Sus scrofa: one gene and its partners. The protein of the gene in region 2 binds, or shares a complex with, the protein of the main gene of each other region. Links are inferred from orthologs where the notes say so. Each region holds a gene or a part of one and is shown on either strand. Other genes may lie near its edges.

What was found. The genes of interacting proteins can lie anywhere in the genome.
Region 1: OSGEP (region 2) and TPRKB share a complex: the UniProt entries of both Homo sapiens proteins name them as parts of the EKC/KEOPS complex. The link is inferred for Sus scrofa from reciprocal best matches to the Homo sapiens genes OSGEP and TPRKB.
Region 3: OSGEP (region 2) and GON7 share a complex: the UniProt entries of both Homo sapiens proteins name them as parts of the EKC/KEOPS complex. The link is inferred for Sus scrofa from reciprocal best matches to the Homo sapiens genes OSGEP and GON7.

Annotation. Positions count from the first base shown.
Region 1 is NC_010445.4:69,236,987-69,241,863, forward strand, and holds the start of TPRKB (EKC/KEOPS complex subunit TPRKB), read left to right. Parts: upstream 1-1,357; intron 1,358-1,981; exon of another isoform or gene 1,982-2,006; intron 2,007-2,106; exon of another isoform or gene 2,107-2,204; intron 2,205-2,662; coding exon of another isoform or gene 2,663-2,682; coding exon 2,683-2,823; intron 2,824-4,171; coding exon 4,172-4,294; intron 4,295-4,877. UniProt on the Homo sapiens protein: Component of the EKC/KEOPS complex that is required for the formation of a threonylcarbamoyl group on adenosine at position 37 (t(6)A37) in tRNAs that read codons beginning with adenine.
Region 2 is NC_010449.5:78,459,475-78,463,459, forward strand, and holds the end of OSGEP (probable tRNA N6-adenosine threonylcarbamoyltransferase), read left to right. Parts: intron 1-297; coding exon 298-393; intron 394-529; coding exon 530-579; intron 580-725; coding exon 726-804; intron 805-1,665; coding exon 1,666-1,731; intron 1,732-1,844; coding exon 1,845-1,935; intron 1,936-2,164; coding exon 2,165-2,240; intron 2,241-2,335; coding exon 2,336-2,434; intron 2,435-2,587; coding exon 2,588-2,627; 3' UTR 2,628-2,786; downstream 2,787-3,985. UniProt on the Homo sapiens protein: Component of the EKC/KEOPS complex that is required for the formation of a threonylcarbamoyl group on adenosine at position 37 (t(6)A37) in tRNAs that read codons beginning with adenine.
Region 3 is NC_010449.5:114,587,285-114,591,968, forward strand, and holds the start of GON7 (uncharacterized protein C14orf142 homolog), read right to left. Parts: upstream 3,521-4,684; 5' UTR 3,468-3,520; coding exon 3,260-3,467; intron 1-3,259. Other genes in the region: putative E3 ubiquitin-protein ligase UBR7, read left to right, coding at 3,722-3,871. UniProt on the Homo sapiens protein: Component of the EKC/KEOPS complex that is required for the formation of a threonylcarbamoyl group on adenosine at position 37 (t(6)A37) in tRNAs that read codons beginning with adenine.

The DNA.
Region 1 (4,877 bases), on a different chromosome or scaffold from region 2:
TGTGATCTACACCACAGCTCACGGCAATGCCGGATCCTTAACCTACTGAGCAAGGCCAAGGATCGAACCCGCAAGCTCATGGTTCCTAGTTGGATTCGTTAATCACTGTGCCTCCACGGGAACTCCGATAATAGTTTTTAAATTATAGTTGATTTACCGTGTTCTGTCTATTTCTGCCTCACAAAGTGAGCCAGTTATGCATACATACATTCTTTTTTTCACATTATTCTCCATCATGTTCCATCACAAGTGATCATATATAGTTTCATGGGCTACACAGCAAAATCCCATTGCTTATCCATTCCAAATGCAGTAGTTTGCATCTGCTAACCCCAAACTCCCAGTCCATCTCCCTCCCTCCCCCTCCGTCTTGGCAAGCACAAGTCTGTTCTCCGTGTCCCTGAGTTTGTTTCTTTTCTGTAGATAGGTTCATTTGTGCCCTATATTAGATTCCAGATATAAGTGATAGGGTATTTGTCTTTCTCTTTCTGACTTACTTCACTTAGCATGAGAGTCTCTAGTTCCATCCATGTTGCTGCAAGTGGCATTATTTTGTTCTTGTTTGTGAAAAGATGGTTTTGACTCCCAGGTGGCGGCTGCATGATAGGAGGGCAGGAACTGTGAGCTGAGCACTTCTAGGAGGCCAAACTGTGGATGTGAGTTGGTGGCCCACTGTGGTGGCAGTGGGTATGGAGAGAATTGTATCCGTCAAGATATTAAAAATTGACAAGGAGTTCTCCTGTGGTGCAGTGGGTTAAGGATCTGGCGTTGTCACTGCAGCGGTTTGGGTCCCTGCTGTGGCCCGGGTTTGATTACTGGCCCCTGGAACTTCCACGTGCTGTGGGCAGGGTGAAAAATAAAATTTAAATTGACAAGACTTTTGGATTAGATATGGGATTTGAGTGAGAGGTCAGTATCCAGCAGTGACTCGAAGTTTCTGGACTGAATGAATTATGTAAAAGAAAAGCAAACTATTCTGACGTTTGCTAGAGGTCCTTTTTCCCCTCATGTAAAAACAAAAACCACATTTTTTTTCTCTCTGGTTGTATGTACTCATTATATATTTTGAGTACTCATTGTAGAAAATTCAGCACATAGAAAAATATTTATAGGAGACCTTAGAAATTGCCTTCAATTCTACTGCCCAAGATGGCCATATTTTGGTGTACTTCGTGTTTTTGTTTTCTGGGTGCATCTTCTTTTATAATTGGGTGTACATTTTATCTTTCTGTATTTTTTTTTCCATTGGACCTTGATTATGACTGAACTGCTGTGTGCCAGGACGTTATTCACAAATGTTCTTTTTTTCTTTTGTTACAATAAGAAAAAAGTCAGATGAAATTCCAGCAGGTCAAAGGTAATTTTTCGTTGTATTTTTCTTTCAATTTTGTGTGTGTGTGTATGTGTACCTTTTTTAAAAAACCCACAATTTTATGTTTTGATTTCCACATCAAATGTTTTAGTGTTATTTATTGCTGTTTTTATACATCCTTAAGTACTCTTCAAGACTACAGTTTTTAGTGGTTGTTTAGTGAAAACAAATCCTGTTACTAGTTCTTTTCAGCTTTTACTGTTAGGATAATGATAAGGACCTCTTGTTACATAAACCTTCAGATTGCCAGTTTATTCTTTGAGAAAAATGCTGTAAATGGAACCTCCTAGGTAAAAGGATAAAATGAACCTATCAAATTGCCTCACCCAAATATCTCATTAGGACTGATTGAAATTGTTTTAAAGATCAAATTTTTGCAATGCTTTGTTTTTCTGTGCAAGGATATGTCTTTGTAGTTATTTGTCATGTTTCTCTTATGTCTTTGTATATACCCCGTCCTTTTCTTGTTCAATTTATGTCTATAAAGGGCCAGTATTATTAAAGCATTGTGCCCTCCCTGCTTAAATCCCCATGTGTGAAATGAGTTCTCTGAGTCATGTCATACTTTTCCTCTGTAAGATTATTTTCTTCTTTCGTATTTGTGTCTAGGTGCTGCTAAAACATAAATCAAATGGTGAGATAAGAAAACTAAAAAGGCTAAGAAGTTGGAGTGAGGTTTCATTAATGCTAAAAGTAACCTGTGATCTAAAACATTTTTGGTAATCTGCACCTAGTTGTCTATTGGGGAAACGGCATCTCATCCACGGATCAGAGCCGGACTTACTGCACAAGCAGGGGATCAGGTGGCAACCTTGATCCTTCGCCAGGAATGGTAAAGGAAGCTAGAAACAGCAGGTTTAGGAAGACAGTATACTGTGAGAATGCCAGATGTGTTTTCGGGATAGATTTTTCTATTTTAACACTTTTATATGTTCTTATTAAAGTTACTTTGTTAGGGAGTTCCCAGTGTGGCTTGGCGGTAACAAACGTGACTAGTATCCATGAGGACTCGGGTTGGATCCCTGGCCTTGCTCAGTGGGTTAAGTATCTGGTGTTGCCGTGAGCCGTGGTGCAGGTCACAGATACGGCTCAGATCTGGCCTGGCTGTGGTTGTGGCTGTGGCTGGGGTATATGCAAGCAGCTGCAGCTCTGATTTCAACCCCCAGCTGGGCAACTTCCATATGCCACAGGCACAGCCCTAAAAAGCAAAAAAATATCTCGTTAAGTAAAGATATTTTTTTGTTAGTGACCTACGGTGTTAACTTTTGGTCTTTTGGTCTTGTGCAACAGAATCCTGTCTTATCTATGAAATGCAGTTAACAGAGCAACTGGACCTGTTTCCTGAGTACAGGGTGACCCTTCTGTTATTTAAAGATGTGAAAAATGCTGGAGCCTTGAGAAAAAAGGCCATGGAAGGTGGCATTGACGGCTCATTAATCAACCCTACAGTGGTAAGTACTTGTGGGAAGGAGTGCACTCTGCAGGGAGTTTAAGAATATGAAATATTTCTTGCTGTTACAGGTCAGCCCAAACCTGTTATCTTCAGGTAAAAAGGCCTTGTCCAAGCTGTGGAGTGGAATCAGATTTGGCCGACCTTGAATTAGCAGTGACTAGAAGCCAGAGCACCCCGCCCTAGGAGCTGTCAAAGGCGGTCCAGCCCTGATGTGATCGCAGCTGTCTGGGATCGTCTTCTCCTCTGAAAGAGAAAGTCTGGGAAGGAGGCACTGCATAGTGGTTAAGGGAACACACTGTAGAATCACTGTGACTCAAATCCCAGATATGCCATTTATTATGGCTTTGAGCAAGTGGTAGCTGACCTTTATATAAAGGTGTATTTGGCTCCTGGCATTGTTGCAAGTTGTTTACACACACAGCTGACTCAGTCTTCACGACAACCCATCCGTGACGTCCTAGGATGGTCTGCACCTCTAGATGAAATGCTAAGGCATTTGCTCCGGTTCCCTCGTGGTAACTGAGGACAGCTGGGATTCAGACCTGTTCTTTGCCGTGGTCTCCTCATCCATTACATGTGAATATAACATGGATATCACTGACAGCTGTGGAAAACGAAGGCAAAATGTTGACCATATGGTTTTTCCCATAATAATACCCCTCGGTAAATGTCGTTTTAAAACTTTTTACTATTGGAATTCCTGTGGTGGCTCAGTGGGTTAAGGATCCGGTGTTGTCTCAAGCTGCAGCGTAAGTTGTAGATGCCGCTCATGCCCTGCATTGCGGTGGCTGGGGTGTAGGCCGGCAACTGCAGCTCAGATTCCACCACCAGCCTGGGAACCTCCATATGTCTCAGGTGTGGCCCTAAAATGAAAAAACAAAAAAACCCAGCTTTTTACTATTTATCTAAGTTGCTTACAGTTTTACTTTTTTTTTTTTTTCCTTCCTTTTGTCCTTTTAGGGCCGCACCCGCGGCATGTGGAGCTTCCCAGGCTAGGGGTCTAATCGGAGCTGTAGCCGCCAGCCTACGCCACAGCTCATGGCAACACCGGATCCTTAACCCACTGAGCAAGGCCAGGGATTGAACCCACAACCTCATGGTTCCTAGTCGGATTTGTTAACCACTGAGCCACGACGGGAACTCTTGCTTGCAGTTTTAAAATTCTTTTTTCTTTTTTTTTTTTTACTGAACACTCAGGCCTTGAGATTATGAAAAAATTTAAAAATGTAGTCCATAGGAACTGGGATGAAGTAAAACACTGACCCTGGAGATAGCACGCTATGGGGCACATGTCTTCAGCGTACTCCAGATTCTCTGTGTATAATATTTTTTGTTCTCTTTGGTAGATTGTCGATCCATTTCAGATACTTGTGGCAGCAAACAAAGCAGTTCACCTCTACAAACTGGGGAAAATGAAGACAAGAACTCTATCTACGGAAATTATTTTCAATCTTTCCCCAAATAATAATGTAATTAATATTTATTTACTTTATAATTGTTGACCTTGTCATGATAGCCTGTGTGTTACTTGGTGTTGGGTTGGAGCCTGTTAATACTAAACCAAAACAATAGTGAAGACAGCTCTGGACAGAGTTGGGGTTTAGCACTGCTCTCTTACTAGGCAAATAAGCTTTGGAGACGCTTCACATGTGTGTAAACAAAAATTTAGCTAAATTAAGAGGATAGTTTTAATTTGTCCTTCTTACCACGTAGAGTCAGGAAGATCACTAAATGATATCTGAATGATTAGCCATGGATGCCTGAGTGTTGTCATGCGTATCTTTCATTCTGCCTGTAAACTCTTTGAGGATAGCATCCATGTCTCTTCCATATACCAGAAGCCTGCCTGGTACCTAAAACAGCCCTTAACACATGCTCTCTCACACACCCACTGCATGTAACAGTTTGTGGTTTCAGATACTGCTAGTAATCAAAGTTATTGAGTTAAAAACATTCCACCTGGAGCCATTAAAAAAACAACACTGTAATTTTGCTGATGAAGAAGTTTTAGTGTTCCTACTACTGTTAAAACAAGCAAGTGCTGACATCAAG
Region 2 (3,985 bases):
AAGGACTTATCAGGAACCTCCAAGCTAGAAAAGTGTGTCTAAAGTGACAGCTTGCTTCTGCCCTGACCTGGACTACCTTCTGTAGGTTAGGAATCTGCTCTGGGAATCTTTGTAGTATATAGGCTTCTCAGATCTAAGAGCTAGAAAAAAGTACCATCAAGGGTTTAGGAAAGTACTTTTTTCCTTTGCTTATTGGAAGCTCTAGTGTCCATGTTGATCCTCTGCTATGTTCTTCCCCAAAGCCAAATACTCCTCTTTACAGACTTGAGGTTTCATGGACATCCTCATCACCCTTAGGTGATTGCATATTCAGAACATCGTTACCGCATCTTTGGGGAAACCATCGATATTGCTGTGGGTAATTGTCTGGATCGTTTTGCTCGAGTCCTGAAGGTGAGCCATTGGAGTTACCGAGAACATAAGATGTGAATGAATTTCTGGGGAGCCAGGGAAGAGGAGGGAGAAAGTAGTAAACTAGCTTCTTACGATTCCTAGATATCTTACTTCCTCCTGTTTTTCCTTGTGCTAGATTTCCAATGACCCAAGTCCAGGCTACAACATTGAACAAATGGCAAAGCGGTAAGGGGAATAAGGTAGAAGGAGGCTGACTGGCGGGGTGTCAGGGATTTCCCTGTTATGTGTATTAACAAGGTTTGGGAGGGCTTTGGAGGGCAAGCAGCCAGCTGACTATAGGCTTAGTGCCTCATATACTCACTCCCACTTAGAGGCAAGAAGCTAGTTGAGCTGCCATACACTGTAAAGGGCATGGACGTCTCATTCTCGGGGATCTTGTCTTTCATTGAGGTGAGTGTGGGAGAGGTGAGGAGATGGTCACTGTGATGCTTTTTAACGAAACATATGTGTTTTGCTCACCATTGTATTTTCTGCATATAGCATAGTACTGACGCATGTTAGATCCTGAATAAATTCAGGTAGCAAATATTTATTGAACATATTCTGTGTGCCAGGCACTGTTTGAGGCAGTGGTGGTACAAGATAAAGCAAAAATCCCTGCTTACTTGGAGCTTGCATTCTTGTGGTGGGGAGATAAACAAAAACAAAAATGAATGAAAGAAAGGGGGAATATAATAGTATAAAAAGGGTCAAGTGGTGACAGGTGCTGTGGAGAGAAAATAACCAAGGTTGGTGGGGGAGTTGCCAGAGCAGACATTCATAATTATTGACTCTAGAAAGAATGTTGCTGGTTTTATAGCTCAGTGCCAGTGAAGGGCAAGGTGTCTTATGGGATGTACTAATAAGTTGAGTTGTGGTGGAACACAGTGATCCTCCAAGTGCACTGTTTTTTTTTGTTGTTGTTGTTGTTGTTGTTGTTTTTAGCATTTTAGGGCCACACCTGTGGCATATGGAAGTTCCCAGGCTAGGGGTCAAATCAGAGCTATAGCTCCTGGCCTGTGCCACAGCCACAGCAACTTGGGATCCAAGCTGTGTCTGCAACCTGCACCATAGCTTACAGCAACAGTGGATCCCCACCCCCCTGAGTGAGGCCAGGGATCGAAGCCAAATCCTCATGGATACTAGTTGGCTTCATTTCCACTGCACCATGATGTACACTAATATGCACTCCCCAAGTGCACTAATTTTTTGCTCCCATGTCATCCCCAAACCAATGTTCATTGTTTTATCTGTTTTCCCCTTTAACTATAGGATGTAGCCCAGCGGATGCTGGCCACAGGCGAGTGTACTCCTGAGGATCTATGCTTCTCCTTGCAGGTAATGGAGTAAAACACTGGGACAGAAAATTGGAGCTGGAGAAGCTCTTTTGTAGTAGACAGAACTAAGCCGAGATCACCTCTGATGTTTCCACCTTGTCTGCCCCCCCCCAGGAAACTGTGTTTGCAATGCTGGTAGAGATCACAGAGCGGGCCATGGCACATTGCGGTTCCCAGGAGGCCCTCATCGTAGGAGGAGTGGGTTGTATGTATCCTTGAACTGTGCTCTTTCCTATTGTGGGGCACGTACATCTTCTTCCTGATATTCTAAATCCTTAAAAGTTTAGAGAAATTACTAGTTCTGTCTCTTCTATGCTTCCCAGCCTTTCCTCCTAGAACCCCTACTTCATTTTCCTAAGTCAGTGCACATGAAGTGTATGGCTAAACTGGAGAAATGGCTGAAACTAGCTAACCCTACCCCTGCCTCTTTGTAGGTAATATTAGGTTACAGGAAATGATGGAAACAATGTGCCAGGAACGCGGAGCCCGGCTTTTTGCCACAGATGAGAGGTAAAGGCTCTTTCCCTTTCTTTCTTTTTTTTCTCCAGTTACTGTGATTTTCCACCCTTAGATCATGAATATCATACCTTTTTTTTCTGTCCCAGATTCTGCATTGACAATGGAGCCATGATAGCCCAGGCTGGCTGGGAGATGTTTCAGGCTGGACATAGGACCCCCCTCAGTGAATCTGGGGTCACACAGAGGTGAGTGGCCCCTTTCAGGAGGTAGACAGGATTGTATGAGAAGCAGGCCAGAGTCATTATTAGCAGGGAAGAGGATTCAGAATCATGAGGTCAGAGAAGAGTATAAGGTGCTAAGGGATAACTGTCCACCAAGTTTTTCCCATTTTTTCACAGGTATCGGACAGATGAAGTAGAAGTGACCTGGAGGGACTGACAAGGTGAACAGGATCAAGTAGATAGCGCCCTAAGTGGAGCCCCAGGGACCCTGGGCCTTAACCTCATCCTGACATAAGACCCTAGCAAGACTGTGGACGCCCCTCTCCCATCATTTGAACCTCAAGATGACTCTATAATAAAAATATTTTTGGTTTTATGTGTTAGTGATCGGCTTGTGTTAAGGAACATAGTTGGCACTGGATAAATTCTTGTTAATGGGGTGGTGAGTAAGGAGGCAGGGATTAGAGAAGCATCCTGGCTGACCGTGCAGGTAGCCTTGGGAGCTGCAGCTCTGGAACCCATGCACTTCCATCATCAGGTTTGAGGGGGTCCCAGGTACACATTCCTCCATGTCACAACCACCAGAACTAATCTCTTCATGCCTTTTCTCTTGTTTTTATGTCAGTCACCAAAGAAGTCGCAAACCACCAAGTCACCTTTCATCTTTTAAACACTAATAACCATTGCTTTCCATTCTCTTTTTTTGTCTCCACCTACCTCTGTCTTAACTCCTGAAATTCTGTTTTAATTTTTTTTTTTTTTTTTTTGGTCTTTTGTCCTTTTAGGGCCACACCCTTGGCATATGGAGATTCCCAGGCTAGGGTTCTAATTGGAGCTCTTGCTGTGGGCCTGTGCCAGAGCCATAGCAATGCCAGATCCAAGCCGTGCCTGCAGCCTACGCCATAGCTCCTGGCAACACCGGATCCTTTAACTCACTGAGCGAGGCCGGGGATGGAACCTGCAACCTCATGGTTCCTAGTTGGATTTGTTTCTACTGCGCCAAGATGGGAACTCCAGTAACTGTCATAAGTCTTGATGATTTGAATATCTAGGTAGATGACCTTTGTAACACTGGTCTCAGTTCCTTATTCCTTCAGTGATCTTGTCCTCCATCCCTATATCAACCCTCATTCCCTTGGTCATGTCTAGACTTGTAGCTTCTCCATATCTCAGTCATCCCACTCTCCTATAATTACTTCCTATTTTTCTAGTTTATTCTATGTGTCTTAATTTCCTTCCTCTAATTCCTGTCACAAGCACTTCACTGCAAACACTTCATCCCCTAGCCTATCTCACTTTTTGTCACAATCGGCTCTTCACCCACTTTATGCCCTGACCCATTAAGCTGAAAGGGCTGGGATAAAACAGCCAGTCCAGGCTGACTTGTCTTACTTTCAGTTCACTACCATGAAAAATAAGTGGGTCCTTATTTATTTATTTATTTGTCTTTTTGCCATTTCAAGGGCTGCTCCCATGGCATATGGACGTTCCCAGGCTAGGGATCTAATCCAAGCTGTAGCCACCAGCCTATGCCAGAGCCACAGTAACTCGGGATCCGAGCTGCGTCTGCGAACT
Region 3 (4,684 bases), about 36 Mb from region 2:
CATGTCTGCGGCCTACGCCACAGCTTGAGGCAACGCCAAATCCTTAAACCCACTGAGGGAGGCTGGAGATCGAACCCCCATCCTCATGGATATTAGTCGGGTTTGTTACCACTAAGCCACAACGGGAACGCCTAAAATTCACAGCGGGAGTTCCTGCTGTGGTACAGTGAATTAAGGATCCGAATATAGCAGCTCGTGTCGCTGCAGAAGCGCGTACAGTGGGCTACAGATCTGGCATTGCCGTAGCTGCCGTGTGTGTTGTAGCTGCAGCTCAGATTCTATCCCCAGCCTGGGAACTTTCATATGCCACAGGTGGCCCCCCCCCCCCAAAAAAAGTGTAGTTTACTGATTTCGATATTCACTAGGCTGTCCAACCCTCACCACTAATTCTAGAACACTTTTCATCAACCCCAAAGAAATCTTACACCAATTAGCAGTCATTTCCCATTCCCCTTAGCCTTTGGCAGCCACTAACCTACTGTAATCATCTCCCATCTCTTAGATTTGCCTATTCTTTTTTTTTTTTTTTTTTTTTTTTTTTTTTTTTTTTTTTTTTTTTTTTTTTTGTCTTTTGTCTTTTTTGTTGTTGTTGTTTTTGTTGTTGCTATTTCTTGGGCCGCTCCCGCGGCATATGGAGGTTCCCAGGCTAGGGGTTGAATCGGAGCTGTAGCCGCCGGCCTACGCCAGAGCCACAGCAACGCGGGATCCGAGCCGCGTCTGCAACCTACACCACAGCTCACGGCAACGCCGGATCGTTAACCCACTGATCAAGGGCAGGGATCGAACCCGCAACCTCATGGTTCCTAGTCGGATTCGTTAACCACTGCGCCACGACGGGAACTCCAGATTTGCCTATTCTTAACATTTAATGTAAATGAATCGCAAAATACATGCCTTTTTGTGTCTGTCTGCTTTCACTTACCATGTTTTCAAAGGTCATTCATGAAGTGTAACATTTATCAGTACTTCACTCCTTTTTGTTGCTAAATAATATTCCATTGTATGGATATACATATTGTTTCTCCACTCGAGTAGATGGACATTTGTGTGTTTTTTAAAATTTTTCATCAAAGTATAGTTGATTTACAATGTTCTGACAATATCTGCTGTAATTTGTCTTATTTCCACTTTTTAGTTATTATGAATAATGCTGCTTATGAACATTTGTGCATTTGTTTTTTATGGGAACATGTTTCCAGTTCTCTTGGAGAACTAGGGATGGAATTAAGAATCCCTAGAATTGCTGGATCATATGATAACTTTAACTTCAAACGGCTTTCCAAAGAAGGTACACTATTTTGCATTTCCACCAGCAACACATGAGGGCTCTAATTTCTTCATATCCTAGCTAACATCTGTTAGTGTTCTTTCTGATTACAGCCTTCCTAGTGGACATGACATGGAATCTCATTGTGATTTGATTTGCCTTTCCTTGAAAGCCAATGACGTTGAGCGTCTTTTCATGTGCTTATTTGCCATTTGTATATCTTATTTGGAGAACTGTCTATTCAAGTCTTCTGCACATTTGGTAACTGACTGTCTTTTTTCGTCAACATGAGGATTTTTTTTTCCATTGAAGTACACTGTTAGTTCCAAGTGTACCACACAGTGCCCCGATATTTCTAGACGTTACAAAATGATCACTATTTGCCTTTTTAGTGTTGCATTCTACCACTTTTCTTTCATAATTGTTATTTCTGAAAATTTTGCATTGCTAATTAAGATATTATTCATACACTGGGGGTTCCCAGTGCAGTGCAGCAGAAAAGAATCCGACTAATATCCATGAGAATGTGGGTTTGATCCCTGGCCTCACTCAGTGGGTTGGGAAGCCAGTGTTGCTGTGAGCTGTGGTGTGGGTTGCAGATATGGCTCCGATCCGGAGTTGCTGTAGCGTAGGCTGGCAACTGTAGCTCCATTCTGAGCCCTAGTCTGGGAACCTCCCTATGCTGCAGATGTGGCCGTAAAAAAAAAAAAAAGAAAGAAAGAATTCATCCAAAATAAAGATAAACTCCATTTTTTTTTTTTTTTTTTTTTTTTTTTTGGTCTTTTTAGGGCCGCACCTGAGGCATATGGAGGTTCCTGGGCTAGGTGTTGAATTGGAACTATAGCCACTGGCCTACACCACAGCAATACAGCAATGCCAGATCTGAGTCATGTCTGCAACCTACACCATAGCTCAGAGCAACTCCGGATCCTTAACCCACTGAGGAGGCCAGGGATGTAACCTGCGTCCTCATGAATATCAGTCAGATTCCTTTCCACTGAGCCATGATGAGAACTCCCACTTTTTTTTTTTCAATGGCTCTACCTATACCTGTCCTTATTCCAACGATAAAATTTGCAACTGATTAAAGAGGAACTTTTGGAGTCAAGAAACAGGACTTCACTCTCACGGAAACAATCCATTGTCTGAAGTTTGTGTAATATTCTGAATTGGTTCCTTCACATTATTAGTTTAAGAGCCTGTACAGAGGAGTTAAGTCCTGATTCCAATATTTAATGCTTAGGTTCTTAAGCTTAAGGCAGTCAAAATGTATCTACCTATTCAAGACAAGACTTAAAACAAAAAACCCCCCAAAAACTAAACCAGTTAAATTTCCCGTTTCCACTTTCAAACTGCACCTACAAAACCGGGAAAGGAAAGGAGTCCCTGAGAGTAAACACCTGTTTATCTGAAATCTCTTCCAATCTTAGGAACCCGCTCCTATTCTGCGATGGACCGCAGTCTTCCAAACGTAATTTCACAGCTGGGAGAATTCCTTTTCATCCTTCAACACCCAGCTTAAAAGCCAGACATGCCCACTATTAGGTCTTCCTGGGTTCTCTAGGTTCGAATAGTTATAGGAGGATCCTAGGGTCATCTTTCCACTCTTTAATGAGAGCGTTTACTTGTTTAATCACTCATCAAAATTCCGCAACGACAGGAACTAAGCCGCATTCACCCTCATTCTTTCTTCAGAGCTCAGTCCAATGATTGGCACAGAGCAGCAGGGGTTCGGCCCGCTTTTCTTTGGTTTTGTGTGTGCGTGTATGTGTGTGTGTGTGTGTGTGATATAAATGAAAAGAGTCGTGAAAACAGCCCTGCTAGGTGAGCCCAGGTTAGGCCTAGAGTTGGCGGAAGGTGCTAACAATTTTTAGTAGGAATCCTTCTTCCTCCAGTTTTCTCCAGTCTGCTGTTTTACACGGGCTCCCTGAGATTTTTCCCGGGGCGCCCCTGCCCTCCCTCCAGTCGCTCCAGCACCATCCCAGAGCTCACCGTCCAAGGCCTCTTCTGGAGCCGCCGCCACCCGGTCCTGAGCTTCCCCCTGTACCGGGGAACCGAAGAGCTCGGCCACCAGCTCCTTCATCCGAGCCACGCCCGACAGCAAGCCCTGGAAATGGTCGGCATTGCCTGGCGCCTCACAGGGCACTCGTAGCCGCTGCCGCTGCCCGTCCTGCCCGACATACTCGCCCAACAGCTCCATGGCGACCGCTGAGCTTCAAGAACGCGCCACAGGGATACGCCACCCGGAAGCGGAAACCAGCCAAGCGCGGGCGCAGGCGGGAGAAGGAAGAGGAGTGACTTCCGTTTGTCGGAAGTCGCTCCTCCCCCTTCCTTCTCTCGGCGTCTTTGGGATTGGTTCCAGGCACCCAGGCCCCGCCTCCTACGGCCCCGCCCCTCGCGCCCGCTTTTCCCGCCTCCGCCGGGGCTGAGCGGCGGTCCGGGTGACAGTTGAGGATGGCTGGAGCCGAGGGGACCGCGGGGCGGCAGTCGGAGCTGGAGCCCGTGGTATCGTTGGTCGATGTACTTGAGGAGGACGAGGAGCTGGAGAATGAGGCGTGCGCCGTACTAGGCGGCAGCGACTCCGAGAAGTGCTCCTACTCGCAGGTGGGCGCGCGGCCGGGCCTTACCTCCCCCGGCTCCCCTGGACCTTCTCTTCCCGGACTTACCTTCCCTCTTCCCGCCTGCCGAGGCCGGCACCTCCGTGGTAGTCCGGGGTCACTGTTTGTCATAGGCTTCCTCATCCCAGGCTCAGCCGCCCTTTTACCCTTAGTCTCGTGAGCCCCCTTCCTCTGCTTGTGTCCGGCAGGGCCCCCTTCGTCCCTCGGTTTTCCTCCGACCCCCCAGGATCTCTAGGCTTTGACCCTGGAGCAGCCTTTCCTTCCTCTCCCGTCTCTTCTCGGTGCCCCGGGTGTTTTTCACGAAACCATCCTCGTGTCCTCTCAAATCCAGACATCTTTGTCCCTAATTTTCCCATCCTTAGTATTTATTAGGAACCAGGTGGGAGTCAAAGCAGAGATAAAGGAGAGATCTCTGGATCTGAAAATCTCCCCATGTGGGCTGGGCACTTGGACAGCTGGTCCTCTGCAATTTAGTTTGACAAGTGCTATCTGGTTTTTTGGCGAGAGGAAGCAAGTACCATGTCTCTGTGCAGTCTGCTACCCAGGAGGATAGACCGGAACCCGAACAGCTGGTGGCTCTGGCGAAGGGGTGGGGGTAGGGGAGGAGAGCGAGCACTTGGAAGATGTTGTGAACAAGGCTTTGAGGGGGTGTGATGTAGTGTTGGGTGACTCATCCTATATTCTAGGTACAAAAATGGAGAAAGGTGGGTAGAAGAAAACTAATAAGAGGTGAGAATTGGTAGGAGGAAGGTTCCTTGGCGGGGGGCGTGTGGAGTGGAACGTTGGAGGGTGAGGAGAG